Linked DNA regions of Lonchura striata. The protein of the gene in region 1 purifies or fractionates together with the protein of each later gene. This does not show direct contact. Links are inferred from orthologs where the notes say so. Each region holds a gene or a part of one and is shown in the gene's direction. Other genes may lie near its edges.

The links.
Region 2: the proteins of TNIP2 (region 1) and TANK purify together in Homo sapiens (affinity purification with mass spectrometry; 3 studies listed by BioGRID and IntAct, with this or other methods). This does not show direct contact. The link is inferred for Lonchura striata from reciprocal best matches to the Homo sapiens genes TNIP2 and TANK.

Annotation. Positions count from the first base shown.
Region 1 is NC_134606.1:9,222,289-9,230,282, reverse strand, and holds the start of TNIP2 (TNFAIP3-interacting protein 2), read left to right. Parts: upstream 1-4,860; coding exon 4,861-5,310; intron 5,311-7,368; coding exon 7,369-7,674; intron 7,675-7,994. UniProt on the Homo sapiens protein: Inhibits NF-kappa-B activation by blocking the interaction of RIPK1 with its downstream effector NEMO/IKBKG.
Region 2 is NC_134610.1:16,853,383-16,860,879, forward strand, and holds the start of TANK (TRAF family member-associated NF-kappa-B activator), read left to right. Parts: upstream 1-4,417; 5' UTR 4,418-4,521; intron 4,522-7,497.

The DNA of each region.
Region 1 (7,994 bases):
ATAAATAGATGTGGGCAAACCCTAAGGTTTTATCCAGAACAAGCTCAAAGAAGAAACTTGCTTCTAAATAGGAGTGACCTAAGCCTGTAAGGAGAAAGCCTCCACTTGCTGAACACTTACATGCACCAGAGAGCTTTTTATGTTCTTGTGAATAGAATCACAGCTCAAAAAGCAGTGACATCATGATAAGGTTTTCTAAAGGAACAAGGAAACTGCTTGAACTTCTTGGATGCAGGGGCAGCATCAGCACTGCAAGAAATTCCAGTCTGCAAGGTCAGACTGAGGCAACTGGTACTGCTGTGCCATGAGCACACCAAAGAGAAACTGCAGAAGTGAGACAATGCAGGGGAAGCCAAAGCAGGGTCTGAAATACTGAACATACAGCCAGTAAGCACAGGAGGGTGAACTGCAGCAAAGACCCAAAGCATTGAGGAAAAACAAAGCATAGCAGAAAGCTCTTGCCCTGACATGGACACAAACAGATCAAGGACTTGTGACAGACCCAGACAAGAGTGTATCCAGCTTAGCCACTGACACCCTTATGGTGAGACTGAACCACCTTAGTCCACAGAAATATGAAAGAAATTCCTTTTAGAGAAAAGTGCTGGGACTGCTATGGATCTGACCAATGTCATGGCTTTGTATGGCTCATCCTGGTTATTTCAGCCTTACTTTGATTAAGAACAGGGCCCTGGGACTCTGCCCTCTGCATCAGAACACTTTTGGTTTTTACATCCTCCAAAAAGGCAAACTATGCAAAAACCAAAAACAAAACAACAACAACCCAAACAAAACAAACAAACAAAAACCCCACACCAAAAAAATACCTAAACAAAAAACCCCCAAAAAACAACAACAAAAAACCCCCACCAAAACCATCAGCACCACCACCATACCAACAAAGCAGGGAAAAATCTTACATTAGAAATAAATAGACCCCACTCTATTTTCCCTAGCTAAAGTAAATATTTTGATGTGTGTAAACAGAAACCAAGACTGAAAAAGTAATGTTTTGTTCCAAGTCAGAGCCTCAGTGCAGAGAGATGGCCACATATGTATATCACAGCAATGAGTTCATCCAGTTTTGGGAATCCTGGCAGCCCTCTGGCCAACCTCTCAGTGAGTTTGTCATTCCAGCAGTAAAATATGTCGAACATTGTCTCATCAGAACATCCAACACAGTGATGTATAGAGAGGATGTTTAGTCCTGCCCATGGAAGTACAAACATGCCTGCAGCTCATAATTATTGTTGATCTATGAGTCACAAAAGCACCAACATTTCAGTTGTTTAGCATGAAAATCAGATTTTTGGTCACACACAGAGCTCTCTGGCAGCATCTTATGTAGCAGGGAGTATATCAGATTATTTTGCAGGTTATTTTTCCCCCTCTTGCACTGCATGATCTACAGCAAAGGAATTTATTGGTGGGTTATTTTCAGCCTACAGCAGCCAGAGGATCACATATTAATTTCTAATAAGCTCTGTTTAGGTAAATTACCTCAAGACAATTCTAACTCTTTTTAAGTATCATTATGTCACAACTTACCCTCCAGGACAATTAGTGGTAACTTAAGACAATAGGGTAAACCACAGCTTGATTGGCTGAATGACATCTAGAGTTCACAAGTAAAAAATTACGATTTCTTACAAATTGAGCAGAGGTCACTATTTATAAAACGGCAGGACCCCTCCATTATGTTGTATACTCTTGTCCACGGATAATTACTCTTTTAAATACAAACGACTCACAAGACTTTCACCAATGCTACAGAAATAGAACTGCTACATTTAGATGAATTATCCTTACCCCAAACACATAACTCATGCTTAAAAATTAAAATTGAAATATATGTACATTTATGAACCTTTAATTAATCATACTGTTCACCGTTTTTATTTTCTGCTTTCCTAGAAGCAGCTTCACCTTTTGTTTCTAGGCAGTATCTAATCCCTTTTTTTCACGCATCTCACACATTATAATAAGTTGTGATGTGCACATAATTACTCATTCAAAACAGCTTTGTTAAGAGTTCTTTAACAAAATCTGAGGTTAAATTTTTCCCATATGGGTTTAATCACATCTATCCTGTAACACCCTACTGAGAAAAAGTTAAAGTGAACTTCACCTTATATTTAATGTTGAAACCAGTACAGTATGGAAAATAAAGTTTTTTTTCTTTATATTGTCATGCAGAGCATACCTGTTGTTCATACAATATTTAATAACCAATTATGATTGTGCAACCCAAAGAATAAGTGTGCCACAGCACAAACCAGCTGCTTTATCAGCAATCTGGGTAAGGGTGCAGGAAAGGCAATCCAGGAAAAGCCAGGTGCTAGAAACATGGCGAGATGTGACTCATTCTTTGGCAGCAGCTTCTTTGACTGAATTCCCAGGAATTCCTCTGCATTTCAGAAGTGACAAAAGGAAACAGTCATCGAAGGGCATTCCCAAGTACATGTGGGATTAGCTTCTTACTCAGCACTTACGTAGGTCAAATTTCCCTAAAGTCAGTGGTGTTTTCCTGGGGGAATGCTGGCTTCATCCAAGGCACCAGTAATACCAAATTTTCCATAAAATTAAGTACCATAAAATTAAGTAATGCTTAATTTTAAATAATTTACCATAAAATTAAGTAATGCTTAATTGTAATATACTAACACAATACTACAAAGGTAGCTATATTATAAAGGATTCGATTTGGCTGCTAACGAAATTCCCTGATGCTTGGTCTGAGGATATCACTGCCCTATCTGCAAACATGGGATGGCCAAATTTCCTTGTAGTTTGTGAATTAATTGGCAGGAAAACAAACAATTCTCCAGTACCATGGCTTTTTCATACATTTCTACAAAATATTTTGACAGCCAGCAAAAGCAGTCTTGCTCCAAATTCTTCAGTTAGCTCTGACTGCAACACAATAATGAAAATGTAACATGAAGCCTATGTGGTTTTTTCACTTTTCTTTCTAATGTACATGAAAATGACGGGAAAAGTACAGGTATTTTAAAGCAGGAACTTTCTTCACGGCAAAATCAGCATCTTAAGGATGTAGAATACCACTCTGTACGAGTAAAAACTAAAAAATTATATTCCCTCAACCTCCACACAGATTTTTCATTGTCCTAAATCCTTTGATACTTACAAAATTAGGTGAAATAGCAAATAAGCCAGGGACCTGTACCATAAACAAGTGCTTTACTCTTTTCTGTCACACAGGGGTCTCTGTGCAACAAGCTCCTATAAAAATCAGTTATATTTTTAGAAACAACTAAGCTAACAGACTGTTTTGAATTTATTACTCCCAATTCTTACTAGAATAATTAAGGTGACAAAGTAATGACTTTCCACCTCAAAAAACTTGATTAAATCACAGGATAATTCATTATAAGAGGAACTTCAGGAGGTCTTTATCCATCACCAGGGTGACTGACAGTCTCAACTTTGAAGTTCACCATCTTTTCCTTTCATCATGTTCCCATTCCTGTAAATTCTTCCACACAAATTAGTCTTTGCTCTCTTTTTATCCCGAGACCTGCCAACACAGGAGGCTGCTCTTTATCACATTGTCTAAAGTCTTTTCTTTTTGCTGCCTCCACCAGCAGCATGTGATGATTTCCACTTGCTGTATTTTAGGCACTTAGGCCAGACAAATCTCCCATGATTGTGCTGAACCTTAAGGCTGCACGCACACATGGAGCTCCATGTTGTACACATTATGATACACATGCATGCACATACATACAATAAATACTATTGCAAATCATAACCAAATGTAACCTGGGACTTATTCTTGTACTGGTTTAAGGCTCTTTCCTCCCACTTGGTTCCATCAGAAAGGCGACATGGACATAACTAAACCAATCCAAAAGACGCCTTCTTTCAGTCCAGCTTTCCATAGTCTATGAGTATGTACACCAGTGTTACTCCATGACAGGGATATTCTTGATTAACAAGCTCTGTTCTATGCTGCCAATAAAAAAGTCTTCCGCCACAGGGGCAGCCGGTGGGCAGCAGCTTATTCAGTGTGAAGCAGCTGATTTTGCTCTCATCAACTCATCCTCAGAGTACACGCACTGGTTGGTGATACGGATTTTGACGAATCTGAATTTTGGATTTTGGTGTCTTCGAGGTCTTTGCTAAGGAAAGACTCGTACACCTGGCCAGGTATGCGGCATGCGAGGGGGGACATGCTGCTCTGCCTGGGTCCGGAGCCATCCCCTCGCCAGCGATGCCGGCACAACACCAACAGAGGATTGCCAGAGAGAAGATATTGGCGTTTCTCCTCCTGCTGCCGCCGGGGCCGCTCGGGCAGACGGAGCGGGAGAGCGGAGAGCCCGAGGGTCGCCGCCAGCGGGGAAAGTCCCGCTCCGAGCCGGGAATTCCCGCAGCGGCGCCGGGAGGACGCGGCGCTCCGGGGCTTTCGCTCCGGAGCCAGCGCCGCCCGCCAGCCCCCGGGACCCTCCTGGCCCGCGCCGCCCCCCGGAGCCGCTGCCCGCGTTCCGCTCGCCCGGCCGGGATTCCCCTGCCCTCGGAGCCTCCCGCTCGCCCCCTCCCTCGCCCCCAGGTTTCTCCCCCCGCCCCCGGTGCCGGTTCTCCGGCTCGGCCCTGCCGGGGTTCCCCGGGCAGCGCTGCCCCCGGGGCCGTGTCCCGCTCTGGCCGCGGGGGAAACAGCTCCCTGCCCGCCCGGGGTTCTCCCCGGGGGCGGAGCGCCGCCCGGCCCGGCCCCGGCCGGAGAAAACAGCGGCGGCACGGGCGGGTCCTGCGAGCCCTTAAAGGGAGCGGCCGCCTCCTCCCCCGGCGGGGAAGGCGGAAGAGCGGAGCCGCTGCCTCGGTGCTGCTCCGCTGCGAGGTTTTATGCACCTGTCCGGGCTCCTGCTCGCCCTGGAGAAGGAACAGAAGGGAGCTGCCCCGGCCATGTGCTCGGTAAGCGAGGCCGGCAGCACAGACCCCTTGGTGACCCGCTTCAGGCAGGTGGAGGAGACGCTGGAGAAACTCCACCGGGAAAACAGGAGCTTGAAGAATAAAGTGCCTCGGTACAACGCGCTCTGCACCTTGTACCACGAGTCCGCGCAGCAGCTGAAGCACCTCCAGCTGCAGCTGGCGGCCAAGGAGGCGACGATCCGGGAGCTGCGGGGCAGCCTGGCCCGGCAGCGGCAGCCCGCGGCGCCGGGCGGGGATGCGGCGGCGGGCGCGGAGCCGGCCCGCTCGCTGGTGGAGAGCCTGCTGGAGCAGCTGGAGCAGGCCCGCGAGCAGCTGCGGGACAGCGAGCGGCTCTCGGCGCGGAGAGTGGAGGCGCTGAGCCAGGTAAAGCCGCGGGCGCGCAGGGAGCGGCGCAGCATCAGCGCCGCTTTCCGCGCTGCTCCCTCGGGAGCCGGGCACCGGGGCGGCTGCGGGCGGAGGGTGCGCCCGGAGCGCCCGCTGGGTGCTGCGAGCCAGCGCCGGCAGCGGGACGAGGGTTTGAGCCCCTTCGAGCGATGCCCGCTCCGGCCCCGGGGGCCCGAAACAACCGGCCCGTTTGTGTTCAAAGGGAGCGCCCCCTGCGTTCCCTTCAGAAAGGCAAACCATAAAATCTAAACCAAAAACTCAGCATCTTCATGCAACTGTTTTCAGAAGGAGAAAGAAAAACAGTAAAAAACTCGCTGAATTTATTAGATGCAACGATTTTGTTCTCAAAGATAAGGAGCCGATGCCACGAATTTTTCCGTTAAAGTGTTGTGCTTAAAGTGCTCTTAAAAATGGAATTTGTATTGACAATGAGGTAGCAGATTCATATTCGAAGAAGCAGCTGACAATTCTGGAGAGCTAGATTAGGGAAATCGGTGTCTTTCTTGAAAGAAAAAAACCTGAAAACTGAATCCCTCCAAATCCAGCACAAGTGCTGTTTTGGTTACTGTCATTAAGACTTCCCCAGGTTCAGTCTGAAATTCTCAAAGATTTTTAAAGTATGAAGTAATTTCAAAACTGACAGCAGTACTTAAAACTGAAACAAGCATTTTTGTCATAAGTAATCTCTTGACCTAAAGCTTATACAAAACATTTTCCATATATGACACTCACCTAAAATACATATTAAAAAGTTCATGTTTGGAAATTTGTTATAAGAGATGAGCTCACTGACACTTTGCAGACAGATGACAAACCTATGGTATCTGAACATATTTGAAAGCTGATGCTGAATATCTTTAAAGGGGAAGTTTAGCATTCAGCATGAAGCTAAAGAATGTAAATGCCAGTAATAAGAACAAGTGCTGTTTATCTATATCAGATGTTAATGTTCATGTCTTGAAAGAATAAAATGCTGTGCCCAATCAGAAGGCTGAAATAATTGGCACTAAATAATAACCAAATAAAGAAGATATTTGTGTGAAGCCAGAGGCCAGTGTGCTGGCAAATAGTGTTCCTAGTGATTTACAGCTCTATTAGCAGTCCTAAGAACTGGAATGATAGAGCTGGGATTGCAGCTGTCTCATGTCTGCACTTGCCTCCAGAGACCCTTGATTCTGGAGGAGCAGTGCTGCAGAGGTTTTGATAGCAGCACCTGCTGCTTCTTGAGGGTGTGTAAAAACCAGCTTGTTTGTGTACCAGGTCAGAACCAGTGCCTTTCAGGTGCATGGCACTACAGGTGGTTTGCACCAGTCACCAAGCAAACCCCTTCCTTCTCAGAACACCTGCAGAGATGTTAATGCAGTGTAGATGATCCCACAGAACTTCCAGTAGGACAAGGAGATGCAGAAACAAGATACACAGTTGATTCCTAGGGGAGTGTCAGACCCCCTCATGTACCTGGGAGGCAGCTGTGGCCAAACTAGAGCCACTGCTGCCACATGGATTTTATTTTCTGCTGGTTTGACCTTACCTTACCACTCCCATCCTTTCCTAGGTGGGAAAGTTGCTCTGTCTTGTCCTTGTGACAGTGCCAGGCAGTGAATACACTTCACTGGATTTGATTACTTTACAGTTCCTTTTTTTTCTTTTGAGGAAAATCTCTATTATCTGGTAGTTTAGTGTACAGGACCTGTAAGTATTTTTCAGTCTCCACATTTATTAATCTTAAATTACTTTGTTTCTTGTTTTTCTTACTGCTGTATAGTCATAAAATCTTCCTGAATTTTTGCTGCTTGTTCTCCATTCTACTGATTAGAAAGTGCTTGCATGGCTGCCTGAGCAGGTCTTCATTGATTGATCCAACAATTCCAAGGTCTTGTGATCATACAGAAATGAAATTGATTTAGTCTAGTTTTTAAGTACTTTGCAATGAATACAGGAGCTATAAGGAATTACTGCAATATTGAAGTCTGAGATAGATTTTGGCTTTTGACTTTATTTTGCTCTTAGATAACTTCCCCTCCCCCCTCTGTTTAGGAAGTGCAGAAGTTGAATCAGCAGCTAGAGGAGAAAAATGGAGAGATACAGCAGATGATAAATCAGCCTCCGTATGAAAAGGAGAGAGAAATCTTACGACTGCAGAAGACTTTGGCAGAGAGGGAGAAGGCTCAGGCCACCAGTGATGTTTTGTGCCGTTCACTCACTGATGAAACTCACCAACTTCAACGCAAATTAGCATCCACAGCAGAAATGTGTCAACATCTGGCAAAATGTCTAGAAGAGAAGCAAAGAAAAGAGAAGGGGAATTCAGATGACCAGATACCTACAGAAAGATCTAATCAGGTATTTATACAGCTACTGTGTGTGTCTTTAAAGTCTTATTAGCTTCTATGATGTTAATTAGAATATAATAGTTGTAACTGGGAAATGGCCCTTAAAATAATTTCATGCAGGGTGTTAAGACTGCCATGGCAATGGTAAATAATTCTGCATATCTGAAATTTAGGATGGTAGCAGTTGTTTACCACTTCAACTTTGGCCATCTCATCAACAGAGGCTTTTTTTTGGAGAGGAGAAGAACTTGAGAGGTTTTGTCCAGCCTCAGCAATTCCATGATCACAGTTCTTCCCTCAATACACAGGAGATAGTACCTACCTTATACC
Region 2 (7,497 bases), on another chromosome or scaffold:
GAACAGCTGTCTCTTCCTTCTCCCCAAACTTTGGAATTCTATGACACTACAGAAACAAAAATAATACTGCGGAGTCTGTGGTCTTGCTACATGACACAGCCCCCTTTTTTGTAGAAGAGGAAAAGAGGTCATAAGATTCCAGAAATTAAATATTTCAATTCAAATACATTTTCAATTCAAATACATTGATTTCTTCCACTCTTACTCCACACTGAAAACCTAAATAGAGGCTTGGGATCAAAAAACATTTAATAAATAGTACAAAGGTTCTGTTTATCAATCCTGTTTTCTTATATTAGATATTGTATATAATATAGTTCTATACAAATGAGCTATCAATTAATTAAATTTTAGCATGGAACAAAGGAAAAAGACCTATGTAATGTAGTTGATACCATAATATCTCACTTTTTCACATTGACAGATCTAGGGAATTAATGACTATATGTTAAATTTCCCGAATACTTGCCTCTATGGCAAAAAGGCACTCAAGCTAGAACATGAATTTTTCAAGGGTGTTTTCCCCACATTGTTCTACAGAACTCAATTTCAGTAGTTTGAGGGGAAGTGGGGAGAGACACAATTAGAATAAAACAGAGCTTAAGAGCCTGTCTAATAAAGTTCATTTGAAGCTTAACTAAGAATCAGTGGATTGGCTATTCTTCTCAAAGAAGCATTACACTCCTTGTCTTTTACTCCCTCTATATGTAACACAGGTTATATTCTATACAGAGGAATAACATTTGTTTTCTAAAGCTGTTGTAGTTTCTTTTGGTGTCATTATCATCACAGGTTTTTTCCTCACAATATATTAAAAAGTATGTATTCTATTTGTTCCAACAGTTGTATGTTAACCATTCCCATGCATACAGGGTTGCCTGTTCATGCACTGCTCCTTTTTTATGCAGGTTAGCCTTTCTCCAGGGTAGGGATCTTCCAGAAACCATTGACATCACTTACAGAAATAAAAAATGTTGCACTGGGTCCAAAACCAGTTTGCAGGCTGCCTCTGCTAAAGTCTCTGTTTCAAAGAATGACTGTCTGCACGCTGTTGCATTTAAGGAAGTTCTTCAGTTGGGTATTTCTCAGTGGAAGTTCCCAGCTAATATTAGTCATAAGCACAAAACCACATTTCATAATCCTGTTGATACTCCTCCAGGCAACATAAAGATTGCCTATACTGTTACCAAAGAGATGAGACAAGCAAATCCAAACTTTTTGTTCCTACACTTTTCTAATGAGTAAAATTAGATTTATCAACTTCAGCATTCAGACACATCGAAAAAGTATAAGACATTACTTTTATGTTGTTTATAGTGCTCCAAATCTATCTGTCTGCATTTTGATTAAATATCCTTTAGTTTCTGGTACCCACAAACTAATTTTGTCTGTTACAACCTATAGGTAAATTACATACTAAGGTTTACATAGGCTCATCAACTATTATTCTTGATGTTGGGAAAAAAATAATCAGCCTCAACTTCCTTCACGCTATGAAACGACAACATTTGGTCTAAATCCACAGTTCTCATTTTCTGACCAGGAAAGGCATTTCAAGATCAAAACATGCTTTTTATTTTGTTAAAGCAGCAAGAGACTAAAAGAACGGTGAAACACCCCAGAGCAACAGAGACTTCCAGCACCCCGCACACTCCTTTGGGACCACAGTCTCAAAGTTCTGGAAAAGGTTTAACATCTGACGTGAGCCACCTAGCGTCTGAACGAATGGCTACATTAAAAACTTGCAACAAACATTTTAACCTCTTTCTAGTAGAAGCCAATTTGCATTTATAAGCTTAGAGAATCATAAAAAGGAATCAGATGAAACCTTTGATGAACTCCAGCCCTTTGCCAGCTGCTCCAGCAGCAGCCTCTCCCGAAAGCAGTGAGTTCCTCCCCGGGCCCCACGCAGTGTAACCAAGAGCACAGTGTTAACTCATCAGCACAGACTGTTAAAATACCATTTCAGAAGTAATGTAAAAAAGCAAACTGTATATAGATGATGTAAGTATTTAAATACACTGATTGACCCACTGAGCACAAACTTGAATTTTCACAATAAAAAAAGTATCAACTTGCTAGTTCCCAATCACCAAGAAAAAAAAAAAAAAACAAACAAAAAAAATCCAAACAAAATCCCCTACCAAGAACAAAAAAACACCCCACTCTAAATTTCTAAACATAAGTAGTCAAAGTAAGACTTTCTCTGACTCTGAACACAAAGTAAAATAAAATATTAAAAACAGAAAGCCCTGCACCACCACTCCCAAAGCCCAGATAAGTGATTTGCAACTGCTTTTAAGATAACTAGATTCCTAAAATCCTAAATAATTTTTATATACACTGATAAGTGCTTCTTCTTTCAGCTGTCTTATGTGGACTACATACAGGAAAACAATCATGCCTTGACAATGACATAAAAGTGTGAAAGATTGATGTGGGGTAGAAATACAGAAAGCTGTTCCTGGAAAAGCTGTAGGGAAGGGAACACAGAGACAAAAGAGGAGAAAGTAAAAAAACAAAGAAAAAGAAAGCAAGATTAAGAAGAAAAGGACATAAAGTAATTTAGTAATTGAGCAAAGCAGAAAATACTCTAAAAGATCAGAGATCAATTTAGCTATGAAATAGAGGTTTTGTACTATTTTCATGGGTATTTTTCTTTTCTTCAATTTAGTTTATTCAAAGGTTGGAGGTCTCTAGGATTATCAAGATGGATTACTTTAAAGGTTGTAAAATATACCTTATTGTATTGGGGGAAGAAATCTAAAGAAAGAAGGCACTAAATAATGAAAAGAGAGGAAAAACCAGCTTCTCCCATGAGAAAGAATATTACTGTGAAAGAATATTACTGATAAAGCACTAAGACATTAATGCATGTTCTTTGAAAAGTCATGTGTGTAGACAGTTGTCAGTATTGAGTTGCTGAGATTGAGATCTTCACAGTAAATTTACATTAAGTACGTTCCAAGAATTAAATAAGCAATTTTTTCCCCTAAAACAACTAACATGCAATGGTAGTATTTCAGAGGTGGTATACATGTTCTGGCTATTTGAATTCAGGTAGCCATAATTTTAGTTGAGGCATGCTTAACCACCAGACAACACCCACTTGTGCTTTTCTGCATATTATCCCTTCTTAAATATAGCATAAGTTAAATTATATTGCATCTGAATTTAAGAAATTCAGGTTATGTTTCAGCTGAGATATCCATTATAATTTTAAGTGCACAACTACTTGCCAAAACTGACTAAAAATGTAACATGTAGAATTAAAAGAGAAACAATAGCCTTTTTTGCCCACACCCTAATTTATTTTTTAAGACCCCGTTGAATGAAACCTTAACTTGGACGTCTCAAGCACTGTCTCTGAAAAAGGAAATTGAATTCCCCTTTCTTGGAAATACGTTAAAAGAGCAAACTCTCTCTGAATCTTAATAATTCATTAGGACCTCACCTTAAGTTCTTAAAAATGGCCAAACAGGAAGTATATTGATAGGCTCATTCACCTCTCTGCCTGTAAGTCTCTTTAGCCTTAGTACAGGCCAAAACAGACCAAAAGAGAAGCTGAAGTCTCTGCAGGAAAGATAAATTATAATATAAATAATCTTCAAAAGAGCACAGAAAGCAACAGCTAGCTATTTCTGTGGCGATGTTTGAGCTCAATCCTCAGGATTCCAAGGGCAGCTGCCCAGGGTAGTAGGTAGGCTGTAATAGGTGGAATGCAAGTTCTGATCCATGAGTGAACAAACCAAAAAGCTCTGCCCTAGAAGAAACACCACAGCTCGGCTGCATGCATATGTTCACTGGGGTTCAGAGACAGATGAGATTAAATGAAAATCTGCAGTGCTTCTCTGCCGCTGGCTCTGTGATGGTATACTGGGCAAGTATGTACAAATGCCTCGTGTTCTCCCATCCTCCTACACACCTTCAGGGAAAAAAAAGCTGTATTTATACACGTGACCTAAAGAGAGAAGGGCTTGTAGCAGTAGCAAAATTAAAACCGTATGTTTCCACTATCATCTTACCTATAGTATTCATTGCCTACATTAAATAAACGCAGGCAGGGAAATGCCTCAGTAGTAACCTACAACAGAGAGAACTACCCTGAGCATGAAAAGTAAATATACTTTTATATACAAATGTAACTACTGTTATTTACAAATCACTCTTAAGTCATGGAAAGACAGAAATAGGAAAGTGCTGTGGACTTCGGGAGCAGCACAGAGGCTGCTTGAGCGGTCTTCCGCAGCCAGGCAGAAGAGGCACTGCCCGACAGCAGAGGCGAGCGGACCGGCTCCCATCCTCGCGCGGGGCGGACAAGGACGGCGCCGTCCCCGCGCGAACCCGGCACCTCCGGCGGCCGCCGCCCTGCCCTGCCCCGACCCGGGGCCGGCGCGGGCAGCGCCCCGTCACAGGGCGGGGAGAGGCACGGCAGGAAGTCGCTTCTGGTTCCTGGGTTAAGGCGCCCGGGCAGGAGCGAGCGCCCTTGCCGGGAGCGGCCGCGGGCTCCGTGAGGCGCTCGTAAGTCTGAGTCGTTTTGGAAACCACGCGCTCCTGGCGCTCCCGCGGGAGCGGCGGCGCTCGGCCCGGGGCCGCACGGCGCACCAGGGCATCCCGAGCCGGGCATCCCGACCGGGGCTGCCGGGCCGCGCTTCCGCCCCCCGCTCCCGGGGCTGCCGCTTCCCGCTCGGCCCGGCTCGGGAGCGGGGCCGGGGCCGCGTCGTTCGCGAGCGGAGGCGCTCCGGGAGCGGGGAATCGGGGGACGGGATCAGCGGGCTCGCTGCCGGGAGGCGATGGCCCGGGCGGGCGAGCGCAGGAGCAGGAAGAGGCGGCTGCCCCCGCGGGCAGCGGCGGCGCGGCGGGGGGAGCGGAGCCCAGCGCCCCGGGAATCGCCGTCCCGAGCCCTGAGCGCACGGCGGCTGCCCAGCTCTAACGCTGCTGCCGTGCCACGAGGGGCTCCTGCTGTGTTAACGACGCATCCGCCGTCGGGCAAAGCAGGAATTGTGTCTACTCAGAAAAAAACAAGGGAAAAAACAAAACACAAAAAAGTTCAATGAGCTCTCAGTATCTCACAAATGATTAACTCAACAGACTTCCAGTTCCCGAGATGATGGCAGTGTAACTTAGAAAATATAGCAATCGAAAATTCTGTTTTGAGAGCAGAAATATGTAGAGTACTTGTGGTTGGGTGGCACCTGTGTTCTCATCTCTCATGAAACTATGGGAGATAGGAAAGTGTATTATGAATTAATGTGCATATACACATGATTAGCTAAAACCTTTCATAATTTAAGGTGGTTTTTGAGGCGGTATGAAAACTAGTATGAAAACTAGTGAGCTGTGAGCTGGGATTGCAGCAGAAACATGTTGCTAATCTTTGTGTTGGAGCTTTTTTGGCATTTGACTAAGAAAATGCATATTACTACTCCTTTTCTTCCCACTACCTATATCAGCAAAATGTTTCTGATTTTAAGCAAGTATTTTAATATAAACTGCAGGTTTCATTTGTTGTTTACTTAGAAGTTTGTTTTACAACATTAGCTGTACCCAGTGATTATCCAGTATACAAGTCTTTACTCAAATATGAAATTCCACTTGTCATTGCCATAGCTCCAGCAGCATAGCACTCACAGGTGTTCAGACTTTCAGAACAACCTCTATAACTAATCTCTTCCTTTAATTCTGTCCCTGTTAAAGATCAGGATTGTCAGCTTTGAGCTGAATTATGTTCCAGCTGCAATTTAGGTACAGCATAACTAATCATAACTAATTTAAATAGCAGGGGTATTTGGGTTGGGGTTTTTTGGTTTGTTGGTTTTTGGGGGGTTTTTTTAGGGCTGTTGGGAGGGAGTTTTTTCCTCCTCATTGGATGCAGGGAGAAGGGTAAATGACAAGGAACAGTTGGCAAATTCCCTGATAAATATTGATGCCTATGGAGGAGAAGCAGGAAAATGAGCCAGTTTTTCTAACTGCAAGGAGTTCTGGATACGAGACAGATAACATAAGAAGCAGTTATTTATTCCAGCAGCAGGCAACCCGGGGTGTGACTACAGAGTAGTTTAATCCAATCTAAATCTAGACTGCGGCAGTCCTGCCCACGGCTAGTCGCATGTTCCCACTGCCTCCTTGTGCTGGTAGTAGTGCTCCAGCAGCCTTGCAGTGAGCTAGCTCCAGTTTTAATTTTGAGATTGGTTTTTTTAGGGGGTTTGTTGTTGCTTTTTTGAGGACGTAGGGAGCTACTTTGGTATACTCAACTGTGTAGCATAGAAGTACTGCTAGCGGTATCAGTAAGCAGCAAAAATGCATGGCCAGAGATGGGAAAAGCTGGCCTATCCTGCTCAGTGCAGACTTGTGACACTGTTACACAACTCTGACTTTGTGTTACAATTCAAAGCCAGTGCTGCTGTTGAGCACAGGAGTTCTGTGTGCCTATTGCTGAGTTCTGTCCCTGTACAGGCTTCCTTGTGTTATCGTGCCATTTGAAGTGGTCTGTGGATCTGACCTGCATTAAAATTAATGTGGAAAAAATATATTCAGTATTTAGTTTTAAACTACATTGGTTTACTGATACAGTTTACAGAAAGGTTTCTCATGCTGGAAGAAAGGGAAGGGTAAGGTCAAAGAAGAATATCTAGGGTATGGGGTGAATATAGGACCAATTCTTCTAGTTAAAATGCCATCTTAAAGTGTCACTAGTAGTGACTTTCAGTGACCTTTCTTTGCATGGAGTCTGAAGTTTAGGGAGCTACCAGTAAGTTATTTTTCCATACCAAGTAGAAAATCAGGCACTGTGCTATAGTTCTGCCTGTTGGATCAATTACTTTTGATACCATCAGTACAAATGACAGCAGCGCTCTTTGTTAATGTTCCCAGTCACAATGAATGACTAAAAGGCTGGAAATTAGGTATAAGTTTTAAATATTGTTGCTCAAATAGAGGTTTGAGTTTGCATGAATGAAATAAAAACTTTCATTTTCTGTGAACTGTGAGTCACATGGAGCTGATCCCTCTTCTCTCCATTAGAAGCTGAACATAGTTTCTTAGATCCCATTGCACTCATTTTTTGAAGTTATCTCATATGTATAGGACATGCCATTTACTAGGTAAGTTGTTAACAGTGGAGGATTTCAGAAGAGTACAAAATCAATACTGATGCAAACTTCACGAGCTTTTAAAGATTGTGAGAACACACTTCCAGTCACTTTCAGCTATAACAATGCCCTCTGCAGTTTAGCACCTGTCCCTCAAGGCAGATACCTTATTTTATTAATTGAATTACACAGAACAGTCCTTCATCTGAAAAGGAAAGAAAGCCTACCCATTTCATTAAAGATATGCCCTAGATATGAGCATGAATATTCTGTTTATTGAAGGGATACTGTTTGGGGGAGGAAGGAGATGGATGAAGTAGCCTGTGGTACTAACAATGCTTTGAGACGCTATGTGTTGTCGGGGGTTATGAGCTACTGAACACACTACTGGTGTTTAGTAAAACAA